Linked DNA regions of Mytilus edulis. The protein of the gene in region 1 purifies or fractionates together with the protein of each later gene. This does not show direct contact. Links are inferred from orthologs where the notes say so. Each region holds a gene or a part of one and is shown on either strand. Other genes may lie near its edges.

The links.
Region 2: the proteins of zinc finger CCHC domain-containing protein 10-like (region 1) and neuralized-like protein 4 purify together in Homo sapiens (co-immunoprecipitation; 3 studies listed by BioGRID and IntAct, with this or other methods). This does not show direct contact. The link is inferred for Mytilus edulis from reciprocal best matches to the Homo sapiens genes ZCCHC10 and NEURL4.

The regions. Positions count from the first base shown.
Region 1 is NC_092351.1:39,843,372-39,851,693, forward strand, and holds the start of zinc finger CCHC domain-containing protein 10-like, read right to left. Parts: upstream 3,467-8,322; 5' UTR 3,340-3,466; coding exon 3,299-3,339; intron 1-3,298.
Region 2 is NC_092356.1:70,054,684-70,063,206, reverse strand, and holds the start of neuralized-like protein 4, read right to left. Parts: upstream 3,301-8,523; 5' UTR 3,265-3,300; coding exon 3,082-3,264; intron 1-3,081. Other genes in the region: spermidine synthase-like, read left to right, coding at 3,361-3,491, 4,715-4,835, 7,763-7,855. UniProt on the Homo sapiens protein: Promotes CCP110 ubiquitination and proteasome-dependent degradation. By counteracting accumulation of CP110, maintains normal centriolar homeostasis and preventing formation of ectopic microtubular organizing centers.

The sequences.
Region 1 (8,322 bases):
TATAAATTATATTTTGATTATATTTTGTTATTTCCAAATTTTCTTGAAATTTAAAACTTGGATAGAAAAAAATCTATAAACTGTTAAATATTCAAATATCTGTCTTTTATTATTATTAAAGATTGGATTTATAACTTGATTAGGTGTGCAAGGTCAGCTCTTCAGAATTCCAGCTAGGGAAAGGCGATTACATTAGTATGAGTGTTGACAACATACTAAAACACAGAATTGAATGTTGGTATACCATGTATACTAAACATTGTTTTTTTTTTGGTTATTATTTTTCAAATATATTTCTTTTTTCTAATAATTTAATTATATATACATGTATGTAGACTTATTGAAAACTAAAGTTTACAATGTACCAGGGCTGCCAAAATGCATTAGACTCACGCATGTTCATGCTTTTTTGGTGCCATTTTCCATTGATCTATTGTTTTTTCTCTTTGATTTTTTCAATTTTGGCCAAATCTCACACATTTGCTTCATGGAATGTTGGCAGAACTGATGTACATTTAATAGGCACTTGTCTAAATCTAAAGAAAATACCCATATTAAATTGTCCCTGTACTTCATACAGAAACAGTGGCTGATCCAAAAGACGGGGGAGCAGCCATTTTAAAAGGCAGTGGCTATTTGACCGGCACCGGCTAAATAGCAAATTTGCTATTTGACCGGCACCGGCAAAATAGCAAATTTGCTATTTAGCCGGCACTGAATAAAACTTCATTGATGTAATAAGTAGAAAATAAAAAAGCTTAATAATAATTTAAAATCATTTTATCACAATATCAAGCATTAAAAATACAGTACAATAAAAAATAATAATATTGAAGATGTGTAAAATCTATGGTTTAAATATCCTGCCATGCTATAAAAATAGTGTTATGTAAAACTACACCGTACATCTTAAAAAAGACAATATTAAAAGTTGTTTGCTACGAATTTCAAAAGGACACATGATTTAACATTTGCAATTGTTACAAAACCAATTCTTTGCCTTTGGAAGTTGTTTTAATCTAGCACAAGATAAATGTTGCCACTCCAAACAGGAACTTCACATTACACTGGCTTCCTTTGAATCTGCATCATGTGTGCATATGTTGCATATGTAGGTAGGGTTCTTTTTCTTCTCTTTATAAACGCTCTTAATAGCTTCTCATGCATCTTTTCGACAATAATTAAATCAATGTTTACAACAACCTGTTTGCCAATTACCGATTTGATTCTATTAAGACACACTTTTTAAGACTTTTGTTTGTTTGTTTCTCTGTCCTATATTTTCTCCTATTTATCTGTTTATTTATTGTAACCCTGTCGTGTAATGTTGTCATATTAATGTTATAATTAACCACGTAATTAACACTGTCATTAAAGCGGGAGGTTTGGCATGCCACAAAACCAGGTTCAACCCACCATTTTTTCATAAAATGCCCTGATTTCTTTGGAACTTTTCTTATGAAATGGCACACAATTGCTTTTTCGGGTACTCTTTTTTTGAAGACCGATGACAGTTTGGGTCAAACCTTTTGGCCTTCCACGTTTCTTCATATTTGGTGGAAGTAATATATGCGAAACACACGATCCACAAAGTTCAACTGGAATCCAATAGGTGTTCTTCTTGTTGAGCAGTATCTCGTTCTTCTTCTTGCGAAACTAGTTTTCGTGATTTTTCGAATATATGAACATTATCAATGAACATTATCAGTATCATTTTCCTTATTGTCTGTTACATTTATATCATCATCATGTAACAGAATTTGTGTCTCCCTGTGTTTTGTGCTTTGAGAAATTTTTCTCACTCTTTTTGGTGTACATACATGTATGATAGAGCACACTGATGACTGGCAGTGGCGGATCCAGAAATTTTCATAATTAAGTGGGGCCCACTGACTGACCTAAGAGGGGGCCCGCTCCAGTCACGCTTCAATGATTCCCTATATAAGCAACACATTTTTTTCCCAAAAAGGGGGGGAGGCCTGCCCCCCCCCCCCCTAAATCTGCCTCTGACTGGTATCATCAAATAATCTATGTGATGTCCTGACTGTGTTAATCTTCCAACGATCTGACACTGCTTCAACAAACAAATTTTCGTGATTAACTTCTCTTAGTTTGAGTATATGCCTACACGGGAGAAGCACACTTTGATGAAAGATACAAGAGTAACTTTTTGAATTGACCCTCATTTGGCCTTGGCTTGTTGTAGCTGTCCATATAATCTCTCTTTCTGCTCCAGTTTTACTTCAGACCTGAGTGAAAACTGTTTCAGGATATATGCCCAAGCATATGGTGTCACCAACTCTTGATATCTATATTCAGGTGAATCATTCCGGAGAATGCTGAAACAGTCCTCTTTTGAAATATACCACTTGTCTTGAGGTCTCGTTCTGTTCGCAAAGAATTTAAGGCGATCAGAAAGTGTTCAGCAAAATCTGGTAATGTGGAGTAGTGATGTGTAGTACAGATTTTTTATAAATATTTTTAAGTAAAAAATATATTTAGTAATGTTACATACAAATGTGTTTTCATGCTTTTAATTAATATTATAAAGTTATAAATTATTTATTTATGAACATCTTCAATAATTTTTTTTATTGTACTATATTTTTAATGCTTGATATTATGATAAAATGATTTTAAATTATTATTAATCTTTTTTATTCTCTATTAATCACATCAATGAACAGTTTTATTCAGTGCCGGCTAAATAGCAAATTTGCTATTTTGCCGGTGCCGGTCAAATAGCAAATTTGCTATTTAGCCGGTGCCGGTCAAATAGCCACTGCTATTTTAAAAATGAAGGAAATTAAAGGAGGGTCCCCAACCAAGAATAAAGGGGGGATTTCAACCATAGTTCTACAAATATAAATCCAAATGCATTTACATGTAGGGTTTAAAAAAACAGAGTTACAACCACTGTACCACCTGGATCGGCCACTTGGGGGACCTGGAGTTGGAATCCTACTTTTTTTTATGATCAATGGTTCAAAATGGGACAAATGGTTTTAACTCCTTTTTAAAAATGGCTGGATCTGCCCTTGAGATATACAAATTTTGGCAACTAGTTTAGAACAAGGATTTGTAAATATTTTACATACCTTGTTCAGGACAGAAGTAACAACAATTATTTCGTGTTGACTGTTGTAACTTTCATAAGGTAATCATTTAGTTGTAAGCAGTACCCTGACCGTAACATACATTTATGTTTGTATATATGATTTTTCAGTAAATTTTGTTGTGTAAAAACAACCATTTTTGTCCATTTGTTATTATTATTAAACTCAATAGTTTTAAATACCTTTTACGAAATGACGGTGGTCGAAACGTGAAAGAAGTCATTCTGTTACTGCAGTATGAAATTGTTATCTAGCCTTGTAACTCAAACACTTTTACTCTCAGTATCTGGTTAAAAAAAGAAAAAATACGTTTCCCCAACTACTACGGGGAGATAACTCAAAATATAAAGGAAATTTTGAGTCGGACGCGGATAACAGAATTACGGAATTACAAAGTTTCCGCTCACTGCGGAAAGGAACTCATGCGACGAAAGGGAGGATAACATATGGTTTCAAATAATTGTATGTGATTTGATTTTTAAAAATCTGTTGGCCCGAGAACACAGCTATTTCGTAGGGTATTTCTTTTAGACATCTAAACATGCTAAATGGAAATTAAAAAAAAATCCCACCTTCGCTCTCTTAATAATACTTTTACAGTTTTCGTTATAGATTTGTCTTTTTTTTTTAAATAAACAGAACCACATATAAATTACTCCATATTAATATGATACATAAAACGATACCAATAGTCACCAGAATTTCGCTACTCTCAAATAAATATAGATTATGAATATAGTATTATCGTCTTTGGAAAAAAAAAGTTTACGAGAGGCGAACAATACTTATAGATTATCGTTGGTCATCTCAACGAGATTGATTTTCTCGCTTGAGCTGGTACAGCGAAAGTGAGAAAAGCAATCGAGTTGAGATGACCAATGATAATCTGTTTATCGCTATTTTACCTATGAGTACGTTGTCAATTTCATGTCAATTTCGTTAGCAACGCCACGTGGCCTCCTTAGTTTCTAGCGATAATTTTTCCATCTCAAGCGAGAAGCATGATATGAAAATTATCACAAAAAAAGATCAAAAGAAAAATGCACAAAATAGCGATAATAAAGGGATATTTAACCTCACAAGTTGAAAACAGAACCGTCCCTCAGTTTAGATTTCTATGTTGTGCTTGTGTTCTATAGTTTTTCTGTTGGTCTTTTTCTTTATATAGCCATGGCGAAGTCTGTTTATTTCTGATCTATGAGTTTGAATGTCCCTTGTATCTTTCGTCAGTTTTTTACAATTCCATTGCAAAGTCGAAAAACGATCAAAAACAAATAAGACCCCGTTTACAATGACAAAAAGATCTATCTTTACTAAGATCCTTGGTCCAGTGTAAACGGGTAAGATCGATCCTCAATCGAACTTAAGGTAGCACAATACAAGGATTTTTCATCCACAATCAGACATCTTTAAACTGATATAATTCCACTCATCTTTCTTTAAATTTTCTAAATGAGGTACCAAAAGAAAGAACAAGGATTAATCTTTCAAATTGTGATAATTTCATTATGACATAATTATTACATAATTAATTGTTATGTAATTAGTTGCCATTCTGTGATGTTCAAACTTGAATGAAATTAGCTTCTTTGTTCTTCATAGCATCGGGCTAAAAAAAAATATAGATTCTTGCACAACACAGTTTGACCTCCAAAACTGTGTCTGAGATTTTTCCTCTTGTATTTCATTCTCTCATAAATCTTCAATGAAGCTTGCAACATCAATTCATTAGAGACCGCTAAATTCAATTGGGTATAAAATTTGTTCTATTGATGTTTTTGGAAATCTGAGACACAGTTTTGGAGGTCAAGCTGTGTTGTACAAGAATCTATAAAATATTTTGGATGCTATTATGACCGGACTATTTGGACAGTGCAAAGAAATTAGTTTTTAAACAACATTTTAGTATTTCAATTGTTAAATGTATATTTAGGTTTTGTATTTATTTTATTAATCTATACTTTGTCGTAAATTCAGGCATAAGTGTTTTACACGGATGATGTGTCATAATCTTGGACAAAGATCTTAAATGCATTTACTCTATTTATTTCATTATTTATTCTCTATGACAGTTTAGACTATAATTCACAAATACGTGTCGGACATTAATTACTCTTTTAATCTATTGTTATTTCTAATTTGCCATCTGTTAATCTGTTTAATCCTTTAATTGCTTGTGCTTATATATATTGTTATTGTTTGTATGTGACATTACATTTAGTTTGGAGTTTGTTGTTCGGTCTTGCCGGACTGCTGAAATAAAAGTTTTAGGAGCGGAATATTCCTTCTTGATTTACATTTAGTCGAATAGCTATTTTACCCGGCTATATCTGGTGTTAGGACGTACGGGCAACGCATCTTTCGGATACCTTGTTCTACCTGTGAAGCTGATCCCCCAGCAAACAGAAAAATGGATACGCAGAGAAACAGAAATTTCGGCCGAGACTGGAGATACCAGATGCCTGATCATGGAACTACCTGTCAGACAAGAAATTTTCAACATATGGACAACTGCCTATGTAAGTTTTGTGGAAAGACTGTAAACAATCAATTTCATTTTAGACAATGTATAGCAAAAACGTCATTTTGCTATAAGTGCAGAAGTTTTGGACATTACGCCAGAATGTGTAGTTTTAACAGACAACCGGACGTGAAAGTTGTCAAAGTTAAATCTAAATCAAAGTTACGCCGCGACGCAGAAAGGATGAGAATTTTCAAAGAAAATAAAGCTATGTCAATTTTTCCATGTGCCGAACTGAATACAATAGAACTCCTGGATTTCTTCCCAACTTTAGACTATAACAAGGAATATATAGACAACGTTAGACTCAGGTACGACCGAGTGCATTCAGAGAGAGTCAAATTTGAAATCAAAAGTGTTCATTACGAAAAGAAATTCAAAGAGCTGAAACAAGAGCATAACAGTGTAATTCGCAATTTAGAAAAATTTCAAAAACAAGGTGCAGATGATAAAAAAGAAATAGAAAAATTACAGGAACGCAATACGGATCTTAAAGCAGTTCATTCTCGGATATACGATCAAAGATGTAAAGCCATCGACCAGCAATATCAATTACAGCGCGACAAAGAACGTATGTTGAATCGCATTACAACACTAGAAGACGAACTGGACAATATTCGGGAAAATACAAGACAAGATAACCATTCAAATCAAAACTATCGATACAGAGGACGTCACAATCACAGAAGAAACTTTCGGAACAATTTCAGATGAATATGATATTAAGACCCGGGTCGTGTCTTCAGGGGCCGCGGGAATATATGACCGGACTATTTGGACAGTGCAAAGAAATTAGTTTTTAAACAACATTTTAGTATTTCAATTGTTAAATGTATATTTAGGTTTTGTATTTATTTTATTAATCTATACTTTGTCGTAAATTCAGGCATAAGTGTTTTACACGGATGATGTGTCATAATCTTGGACAAAGATCTTAAATGCATTTACTCTATTTATTTCATTATTTATTCTCTGTGACAGTTTAGACTATAATTCACAAATACGTGTCGGACATTAATTACTCTTTTAATCTATTGTTATTTCTAATTTGTCATCTGTTATTCTGTTTAATCCTTTAATTGCTTGTGCTCATATATATTGTTATTGTTTGTATGTGACATTACATTTAGTTTGGAGTTTGTTGTTCGGTCTTGCCGGACTGCTGAAATAAAAGTTTTAGGAGCGGAATATTCCTTCTTGATTTACATTTAGTCGAATAGCCATTTTACCCGGCTATACTATGAAGAACAAAGACGCTAAATTCTTTCAAGCGTGGACATCACAATTTAGCGACTAATTACATAATAATTAATTATGTAATAATTATGTCATAATGAAATTATCACAATTTGAAAGATTAATCTTTCTTCTTTCTTTTGGTACCTCATTTATAAAATATAGAGAAAGATGAAATGAATTGCATCAGTTTAAAGTTGTCTGATTGGGAGTGAAAAAATCTTTGTATTGTGCTACCTTAAAAAGGAATTTTTATTTGAATCGGTCTTTTTTTTGGTAGATCGATCGGGATCGATCTTTTTTCCAGGTGAATGTGATATTTAGATATAATTACATTAGATGTATGTTTCATTATAATACGTTATAATACGTTATTATGATTGGCTAAGTGCACATCACATGTTATTCCTTGAGCAATTGCATTACACTATAAAACTTATCATTCATGATAACACGTGGTCCCACAATAAAGTGCACAGGTAAATTAAATCAAAAATTGATAAAATTCGTGTTTTCATAATCCTAACTAAAAAATGTAATTATAAGTATTGAATGCGTTTTTTGTAACTTCATAGGGTTGTAAAAGCGTTGACCGTGCGCACATTTTTAGAATGAAGCGCTTCCTTGTTCATACAAAATGTACTTCGGTCAACGCTTTTACACCCCAATGAAGTTACAAAAAAAAGCATTCAATTCTTAAATAAAATTATCATAATGATTTTAATTCAATAATCTGACAGTGATTTACAGATACGATATTTTCAAAACTCGCAGGATGCGTTCCGGGGGACACGTAGAAATACCGCGCGTCCGTCCGTGTGACTGATCTTATTAACGCGCTCACGTGTACAATAATTATTCTTGCCAGATCTAAAAAAAAACTAAACTTTTAGTTTATATCAGATATATGTGGGACATTTTCGAAAATCTGTGCCGATCAAATATTTTTAAAAAGATGTATTCCCGTCTGAAATATTATTTACATGGACAATTATATTGAAAGTTCTCTTATGGAAGATTTTCGTCAAATTTGTATCAAAGATTTTCAAGCAAGGTCTTTAATAAGTTTCAAAATCAGTGCTGTACGTTTTTATAAAAGAGTTACCTTGGAGATATTGATTGTATTTGAAAATGCGTTGTATTTGCTTAATCATTCATTTTTCTTACGGCGAAAAATAATTTAAACCTAAACATTTAACACAGAATGATTCTTGTATTACAGCGTAGAGAAAAAAAAATTTAGTTGAGAAAAAAAACCAGATAACATTTTGTCATGCCTATGCTGTTTCCAGTGACATGTTTTTGATTTCATTAATATTACACTAGGTCTAGTTTAGTGCAATAACATGTTATAAACCAAAATTACGGCAGAACAACATCATCACTTCATTGAAGGGAGTAGTTATTTTACAGCAGCACAAAAATGAAGAAATGTCTCTATCCTTTTCA
Region 2 (8,523 bases), on another chromosome or scaffold:
TTTTTTTTAAGTGATTTTTTCCCCCTTAGGCATCAAAAAATTATTTAGTTGCCATCCTTTTATGATTCTTTGTTCAATTTGTATTTAATTCATATTGTTTTATCAATTCACATTATTTTTAGAAGGGAAACTTAAAAAACAGGTTTAAACTGGGGAAGTAACCCGAAATTTCTTTGAAGTGTTTTGAAAGCTTGAAGCATTGAAAAGTCGTTAATGATCCTTAATTAGTACTATGTTTGACACCCAAGTTGCCAAGTGAAGCCATTTAATTACACATTGTCTGTGATTTACAGGTAAAAACAACCCTCAAACGTAATTAATGTTAACTTGTCATTCAAGGTTAAAATATTCAAAACGGTAGATTCTGTACTCCTGTACAGGAGGGTACCGGCAAGCGGGAGATTTCCCGAATTTTGGCATTTAAGGGGGAGTCTCCCGCTCAAAACGTGAGGATTAGCAGGTATGATACATCAAACTTGAAGTGGCCTATGACCATATACAAATGTACATGTTTGCAGTTCCAGATACCTTTTTTAGTTGAATCTGTCATATATGACTTCCATCACCATGTGACCATAAACATGAAAACCTAGGCATCGTTACCTCCAGCCCGAGTTGAACAAACAGAGGAAAAAGTTTGATTTTAGACTGCACAAAATATTTGGAAAATTTAAATCTAATAAGAATGGTCACCCAGACGTATGGGAATCAAGATAATTTCCATACTTACGGAACATAAAATATTGAGGTACATGTGCTACCGTATGGAATGACGATTCTGAAAGTATTGGACACTCTTAATTAGTAGAGCAGGGATACAGGCGCGCCTTCTATCTGGTAAATGACGTCTTCAATTGACAATCTTTTTCAGTGAAAGACTGATACTGGAAGATCATGTTCTGTATATGGTAGTCCAAATAATTACGATGTCTGGCAAGGCTATTTTAAATTTTTTTCTGGGACGCAGGGAGGCAACACAGAAAAAAGTAAAATTGCCTTGCCAGACATCATAAATACTAGAACACACCCACGAAATCGCGTGCATATACAGCTTGTGAACTGCTGTAGGGTGATTTTTTGTAAGAGACATTACATGTATGTATGGAGAATTTCATAAAAGGTATCAAAAGCCCTCTCCCTTTTTCCAAAGTCCGATTATTTGTTTCCTTTCTGTTAAATTCAATTATTTTCGTGTTTCGTGCCTCAGACCACAATTATTCTTCTCCTTTGCTACAATGCATCTTTTGGTAATAGTCAAATTAAATTAAAAATTTGCACCACTTCAAACATGAAATAAATGTAACTGCTTATATAAAGACCATTATTAGTCTAATAAAATATGCTTCTAGGACAATCCATAAGTGCTTTTTCTTTTGAGAGCCTTGTTAACATGCCAATGGTAGGATATGAATCTTGTATAAATAACTAAGACCGACTAAGGCCAATTTGAGGGTGGTCGGAGGGGTCCTGATCCCGAAATCCAGGGCTTAAAAACATGAAATCCTGAGATGCAGAATTTAAAGAAATTCATATCCCGAAATCGAAAAATATATTCCCGGATCCCGTAAGAAACGATCCCCAAATCCCGGGCTTAAAACACACGACCCCGACGTCCCAAAAAAGGTCCTGCCTCCCTCTAATCTCTACCCTACTTTCATTTTTGCCAAATCATTACTTTCACTTCCAACAATAAATTTTTATGACCCATTTATGGGCATTATGTTTTCTAGTCTGTGCGTTTGTTCGTTCATCCTTCCGTCTCATGATCCCGCGTCAGGTTAAAGTTTTTGGTCGAGGAAGTTTTTGATGAAGTTGAAGTCCAATCAACTCGAAACTTAGTAAATATAGTGCCGATGTGGCATCCGTGTACTATGGACACATTCTTGTTTCCACATGTTTTACTTATTTTAATATATATTCAACTGGTATGACTCCTTTTAAAAATAGTAATATATTTCAAAGAAAACTGCAGACAGAATACAGAGAGTCTCTATATATTAAAGTATTATAATCGTAGTTTACATGTAGATAAACGCAAAAAATAATTGTCCTCTCTAAGGAGGTATAATAGTAGTGGTTCTGGCGACCTAAACACCATGATATGGAGAACGCTCTGATTGGCTTATTTATTTTTTCATTTTTGTTATCTATCATACGATTGGTTGTACTTGTGCGTGTTTCAAACCGGAAGTTGATCTATGACTAAAAGTCAGTCTGATGACGTAATCAATATTCGGACTCCTTTTTTTTCGTTTTTCTCCAAAAATAACACAATCTGAATAATCATAAGAATGAATGACAAATGCGACTATGCATGTTACATATAGAACACAGAGGCATGATGATTAATTTATCGTGGAAGGAAGAGAAGCGACACACAAAATGAGGTCTTCTTGTTTTATAATAGTATAGATTTGGACCATGTACATTATGTGAGTTCGTGGTCTAGTGGTTAAGACCGATGGCTACAGTGCTAAAGGTCCCGAGTTCGATTCTCACTCGGGGTGCTAAAAATATCAGTACATCAGAAGGGTAATTTTCACCCTCTCACACACATCTCCGGTACCCAGACCGGAGTTTAAACTAGAATGAGTACTTTGGGGGCCTAGGTTGGTCAAAGTTGTCCCCTACTTTGACCTGGAGATCAATCTTCTGATATCTCTCTGGTTTGTCTGTTTCCACCGAGTGGCCCGGTGGTTCTCTCCAAGTACTTCGGCTTCCTCCACCATAATAACAGACTTCTCTGTGTCCTACACGCTCCCTTGGGCAGTGTTGGGTGGAGATTGTTCTGGTGGTGGGATAATATTGTAAAGGACACATCTCCATTAAACCTTAGGGAGTGAACATGGATCCACTGTACCCTTGCAGTCAATCAAGGGGTGCGTTTAAATTATCGGAATCTCGAAGTACATACATACATGTCAACCCTTCACTCAAATGTTTATGGGTATGCACAGACGGTTTTGGTTAAAATGTTAGCACAGACATATCGCACCATTTTAAGGCTGATATTGGTTTAAGGGACTGGGGAAACGCTGACAAAGTAAGAAAAAATATAAGACATGCTGAGACATGGACAACCTTTTTGTCTATTTTGACTTCAAATAATTGGTCTTCCTTTAATGGGTCTCTGCTAATAGCGACACCATTATTGAACTCTTGGGCGGGATGGTTTCTCTGTGCTGTCCTGTTCTCATTACTCAGTTGGACAAGCGATCCAACCCTTTCATGGAATTTTGGCAAGGGTTCGTCTGAGGAGGCCATTTTCTGGAATCCTCTGATTTTTACGTCTACCTGGTAAATCCAAGAGAACACCCGAAGTTAACAGTTTCCGTTTTTCGGTTCATCAGCTGATTACCAATGGATTTAATTAAAGACGGGTGGTTTAGTGAATTAAGTGAACTATGGCCAGGACAGTGCATGTCACTCCAAGTGGAAGAATTGTTGTTTCATGAAAAATCTAAATATCAGGATTTAATTGTATTTAAAAGGTAAAATTTTATATCTCTCACTGTATAAACAACACACGTGTCCAAACTGTTATTTTATCTTATATGATGCATTTTCAGTCAATGCTAAAATTAAAAGATAAAAGAAGATACAATGTTACTTAGAATTTAGCTGTAAAGAATTATTTGCTTTTTCAAAGTTTTTAATAAGAACATCTAGGTTTTGATGAATGTTTTCCAATTTTTAGTACAACAAGTATAACATGTATAACAATCGTGTATATATTTAGATATATAATAAAGTTAAAGGGCATAATCATTCAGCTTATCATTAGCCTAATATTTTTTTGCTAATTTTGAGAAGAAAAAATGTGAACAAAAAAGGTGTTCAAATATTCTTATTTTACAAGTTTTATTGGTTTTAAGCAAAATATATATTTTTCATAAAAGCAGAATTGTGAAATTATAATTAACCTTAACCTGAAACCCTATCATGGGACATGTACCTATTCAAATAAACATGATAAACAGATCAAAACAACTTATACATATGTCAGTGCTATTTAAATTTTAATTATATGTCAGTGCTATTTTAAAGCTCACTAGAGCTTGTGTTATGTAGTTTATTGAATATCGACTCTAAATAAAACTTTGAATCTTGAATCTTATTTAAGTTAAACTTATATGTCAGTGGTATTTACATTTGCAAGTTAAAACTTAATTGTCAGTGCTATTTGATTTAAGCTTATATGTCAGTGCTATTTAAGTTTAAATTATATATATGTCAGTGCTATTAATTTAAGTTTAAATGTTTAAATTATATGTCAGTACTATTTAAGTTTAAATTATATGTCAGTGCTACTTAAGTTTAAATTATATATATGTCAGTGCTATTTAAGTTTAAATTATATATATGTCATGTATGTCAGTGCCATTTAAGTTTAAATTATATATTCAGTGCTATTTAAGTTAAACTTATATGTCAGTACTATTTAAGTTTAAATTATATGTCAGTGCTATTTAAGTTTAAATTATATATATGTCAGTGCTATTTAAGTTTAAATTATATGGCAGTGCTATTTAAGAAAACTTATATAATGATATATAAATATCAGTGCTAATAAAGTTAAACTTATATGTCAGTGCTATTTCAGCATGTTCAGTAAATACTATTTGTCAGTGATCCCTATTTCAGTTAATATTACATGTCAAAGGGTTCCCTCTTTCACTCAGTAAATATTATATGTCAGTGTTGTCTATTTCAGTAAAACTTATGGTAATGTTTTGGTGTTAGATGGTGTAATACAGTGCACAGAAAGAGATGAATTTTCATATCAAGAAATGTTGGCACATTTACCACTGAATTCTCATCCTAACCCTCAAAAGGTTTGCAAATAGAACAGTTTTAAAGGGGAGATCCAATTACCCTAAGGTACATGTAATCCTTACCAGTGAACAGTTTAAAAGGAAGGGGAGATCCAATAACTTGAAGGTAATCTTTACCAGTGAACAGTTTGGGAAGGGGAGATCAAACTATCTTAAGGTAATTCTTACCAGTGAACAGTTTAGGGAGGGGATATCCAATTACATTAAGTTAATCCTTTCAAGTGAACTGTTTGGAAAGGGGAGATCTAATAACCCTTAGGTAATCCTTACCAAAGAACCTTTTAGGAAGAGGAGATCCTATTACTCTATGTTAATCCTTACCAGTGAACAGTTTAGGAAGGGGAGATCCAATTACTCCAAGGTAGTCCTTATGAGTGAACAGTTTAGGAAGGGGAGATCCTATCATTCTATGTTAATCCTTACCAGTGAACAGTTTAGGAAGGGGAGATCCATCTACTCCAAGGTAGTCCTTATCAGTGAACAGTTTAGGAAGGGGAGATCCTATTACTCTATGTTAATCCTTATCAGTGAACAGTTTAGAAAGGGGAAATCCAATTACTCCAAGGTAGTCCTTATCAGTGAACAGTTTAGGAAGGTGAGATCTAATTACCCTAATGTTATCTCTATCAGTGAACAGTTTGAGAAGGGGAGATCCAATCAACCTAAGGTAATCCTTACCAGTGAACAGTTTAGGAAGGGGAGATCCTATTATTCTATGTTAATCCTTACCAGTGAACAGTTTAGGAAGGGGAGATCTAATTACCCTAATGTTATCTCTATCAGTGAACAGTTTGAGAAGGGGAGATCTAATCAACCTAAGGTAATTCTTACCAGTGAACAGTTTGAGAAGGGGAGATCTAATTACCCCTAAGGTAATCCTTACCAGTGAACAGTTTGGGAAGGGGAGATCCAATTACCCTAAGGTAATCCTTACCAGTGAACAGTTTAGGAAGGGGAGATCCAATACCCTAAGGTAGTCCTTATCAGTGAACAATTTAGGAAGGGGAGATCCAATTACCCTAAGGTAATCCTTATCAGTGAACAGTTTAGAAAAGGGAGATCCAATTACCCTAAGGTAATTCTTACCAGTGAACAGTTTAGAAAGGGGAGATACAATTACCCTAATGTAATCCTTACCAGTAAACAGTTTAGAAAGGGGAGATCTAATTACCCTAAGGTTATCCTTACCAGTGAACAGTTTAGAAAGGGGAGATCTAATTACCCTAAGGTTATCCTTACCAGTGAACAGTTTAGAAAGGGAGACCCAATTACCCTAAGGTAATCCTTATCAGTGAACAGTTTAGAAAGGGGAGATCTAATTACCCTAAGGTTATCCTTACCAGTGAACAGTTTAGAAAGGGGAGATCTAATTACCCTAAGGTTATCCGTACCAGTGAACAGTTTAGAAAGGGGAGATCCAATTACCCTAAGGTAATCCTTATCAGTGAACAGTTTAGAAAGGGTGATCAAATTATCCTAAGGTAATTCTTACCAGTGAACAGTTTAGAAAGGGGAGATTCAATTACCCTAATGTAATCCTTACCAGTGAACAGTTTAGAAAGGGGAGATCAAATTACCCTTATGTAATCCTTACCAGTAAACAGTTTAGGGAGGGGAGATCCTATTACCATGATTAATCTATGTTACCCTTGCCAGTGAACAGTTTAAAGAGGGTGATACGTTATACTGATCCAATAACCCTTAGGTTATCCTTACCAGTGAACAGTTTAGAAAGGGGAGATCCAATTACCCTCAGGTAATCTTTACCAGTGAACAGTTTAGAAAGGGGAGATCCAATTACCCTTAGGTTATCCTTACCAGTGAACAGTTTAGGAAGGGGAGATCCAATTACCCTCAGGTAATCTTTACCAGTGAACAGTTTAGGAAGGGGAGATCTAATTACTCTAAGGTTATCGTTACCAGTGAACAGTTTTAGAAAGGGGATATCTAATTATCATAAGGTAATCTTAACCAGTTAACAGTTTGGGAGGGAGAAATCCAATGACTTTAAAGTAATCTTTACTAGTGAACAGTGTACAAAGGGGAGATCAAATTACTAGTAGGTTATCCTTACCAGTGAACAGTTTAGGAAGGGGAGATCTAATTACCCTAAGTTATCCTTTCCAGTGAACAGTTTAAGAAAGGGGATAATTATCATAAGGTAATTTTAACCAGTTAACAGTTTGGGAGGGAGAAACCTTATTACTTCAAAGTGATCATTACTAGTGAACAGTGTAGAAAGGGGAGATCCTATTACTCTAAGGTTATCTTTACTAGTCAACTTGTTGGAGAGGGGAGATCTTATTACCCTAAGGTAATCTTTACAAGAGAACAGTTTGGGAAGGGAGATTCAGTTATCCTAAGGTAGTCGTTACCAGAGAATAGTTTGGGAAAGGGAAGCCCAATTACTCTAAGATAATCCTTACTTGTCAACAGTTTGGGAAAGGGAGATCCACTTATCTGAAGGTAATACATGTAATACCATGAATACTCAACAGTTTGGGAAGGTGGACTTTGCACATGATTATTTAAATTAATGTAAGGTCATGAAGGTTCTCTTTACCAAGTCATGTAAAAATCTAAAATCTTTAACCTTCATCAAAGTTTTATATGAAAACTTTATCATTCAAGGGTACTTATTATACATGTACAAGTGATTTCAGAGTCACCCTTTTAAGTGATTTTTGCATAAATTTTTTTTTTTTTAATTTAAAAAAAAAGATCTGAATTTGTGGTTCACAGTTATCATCAAAAATTGGTACATGAAAAACAGGTATGCAAATAATATGCATACTAATTTTCTTACAAAAATGTTGAAAGGTATTTAAATTGAAATTTATCTCAAGTTCTAAAATGTAACATGTCATGCATTCATCCATTCTCCATGTTCTCAATTTAATGTATATCATTTTAAATTTTCTTTTCAGGTTTTGATAATTGGTGGAGGTGATGGGGGCGTACTGAGGGAGGTTGTTAAACATCCACAGGTGTCTTCAGTATATATGTGTGAAATAGACGAGGTATGTTGATAGGTATTAAGGGAGGTAATTATATAATCAAGCATTAACTGGAGTCATCAGATTATATGTGAAAAAGATTAGATTGTTAATACAACATTTATTTGTACAAGTATCAAACCTCCAGAGGGTCAATAATTAATATAGTATGCTCAAACAGGTATCTTTGTTGTATGAAAGTAAGTCCTTACTTGAATTGTGAATAAGTCACATGTTACCAGGTTACAGATAAAACAAAGTGTTCTTGGAAATCCCTGTGAATGTCATGCATGTATCACTAATGAAGTTTATGTAAATATAGGTGTCATTGTGATAATAGAAAGTTAAAATAACTGCCTGGCATATAACAAGTAATAAAAAATACCTATATGAATAATTCCTGTAATAGCAGGTATTTCAAAATACCTGCCAGACATATATAACAAGTCATCCAAAATACCTTATTATCTTTGTCTCTGGATATAAACATGGAATTAAAATGTATCTGGGTAAAAACAGGGAATAAGAAATATCTCTTGGTAAAAACAGGTAATAAAAAAAAATTGGTAAAAAAAAGATATCTAGAAAATACGGGAATTAAAAACAGGGAATTAGAGATATATATTGGTGAAAACAGGGAATTAGGAATATCACTGGGTAAAAACAGAGAACGAGGAAATGATATCAGGGTA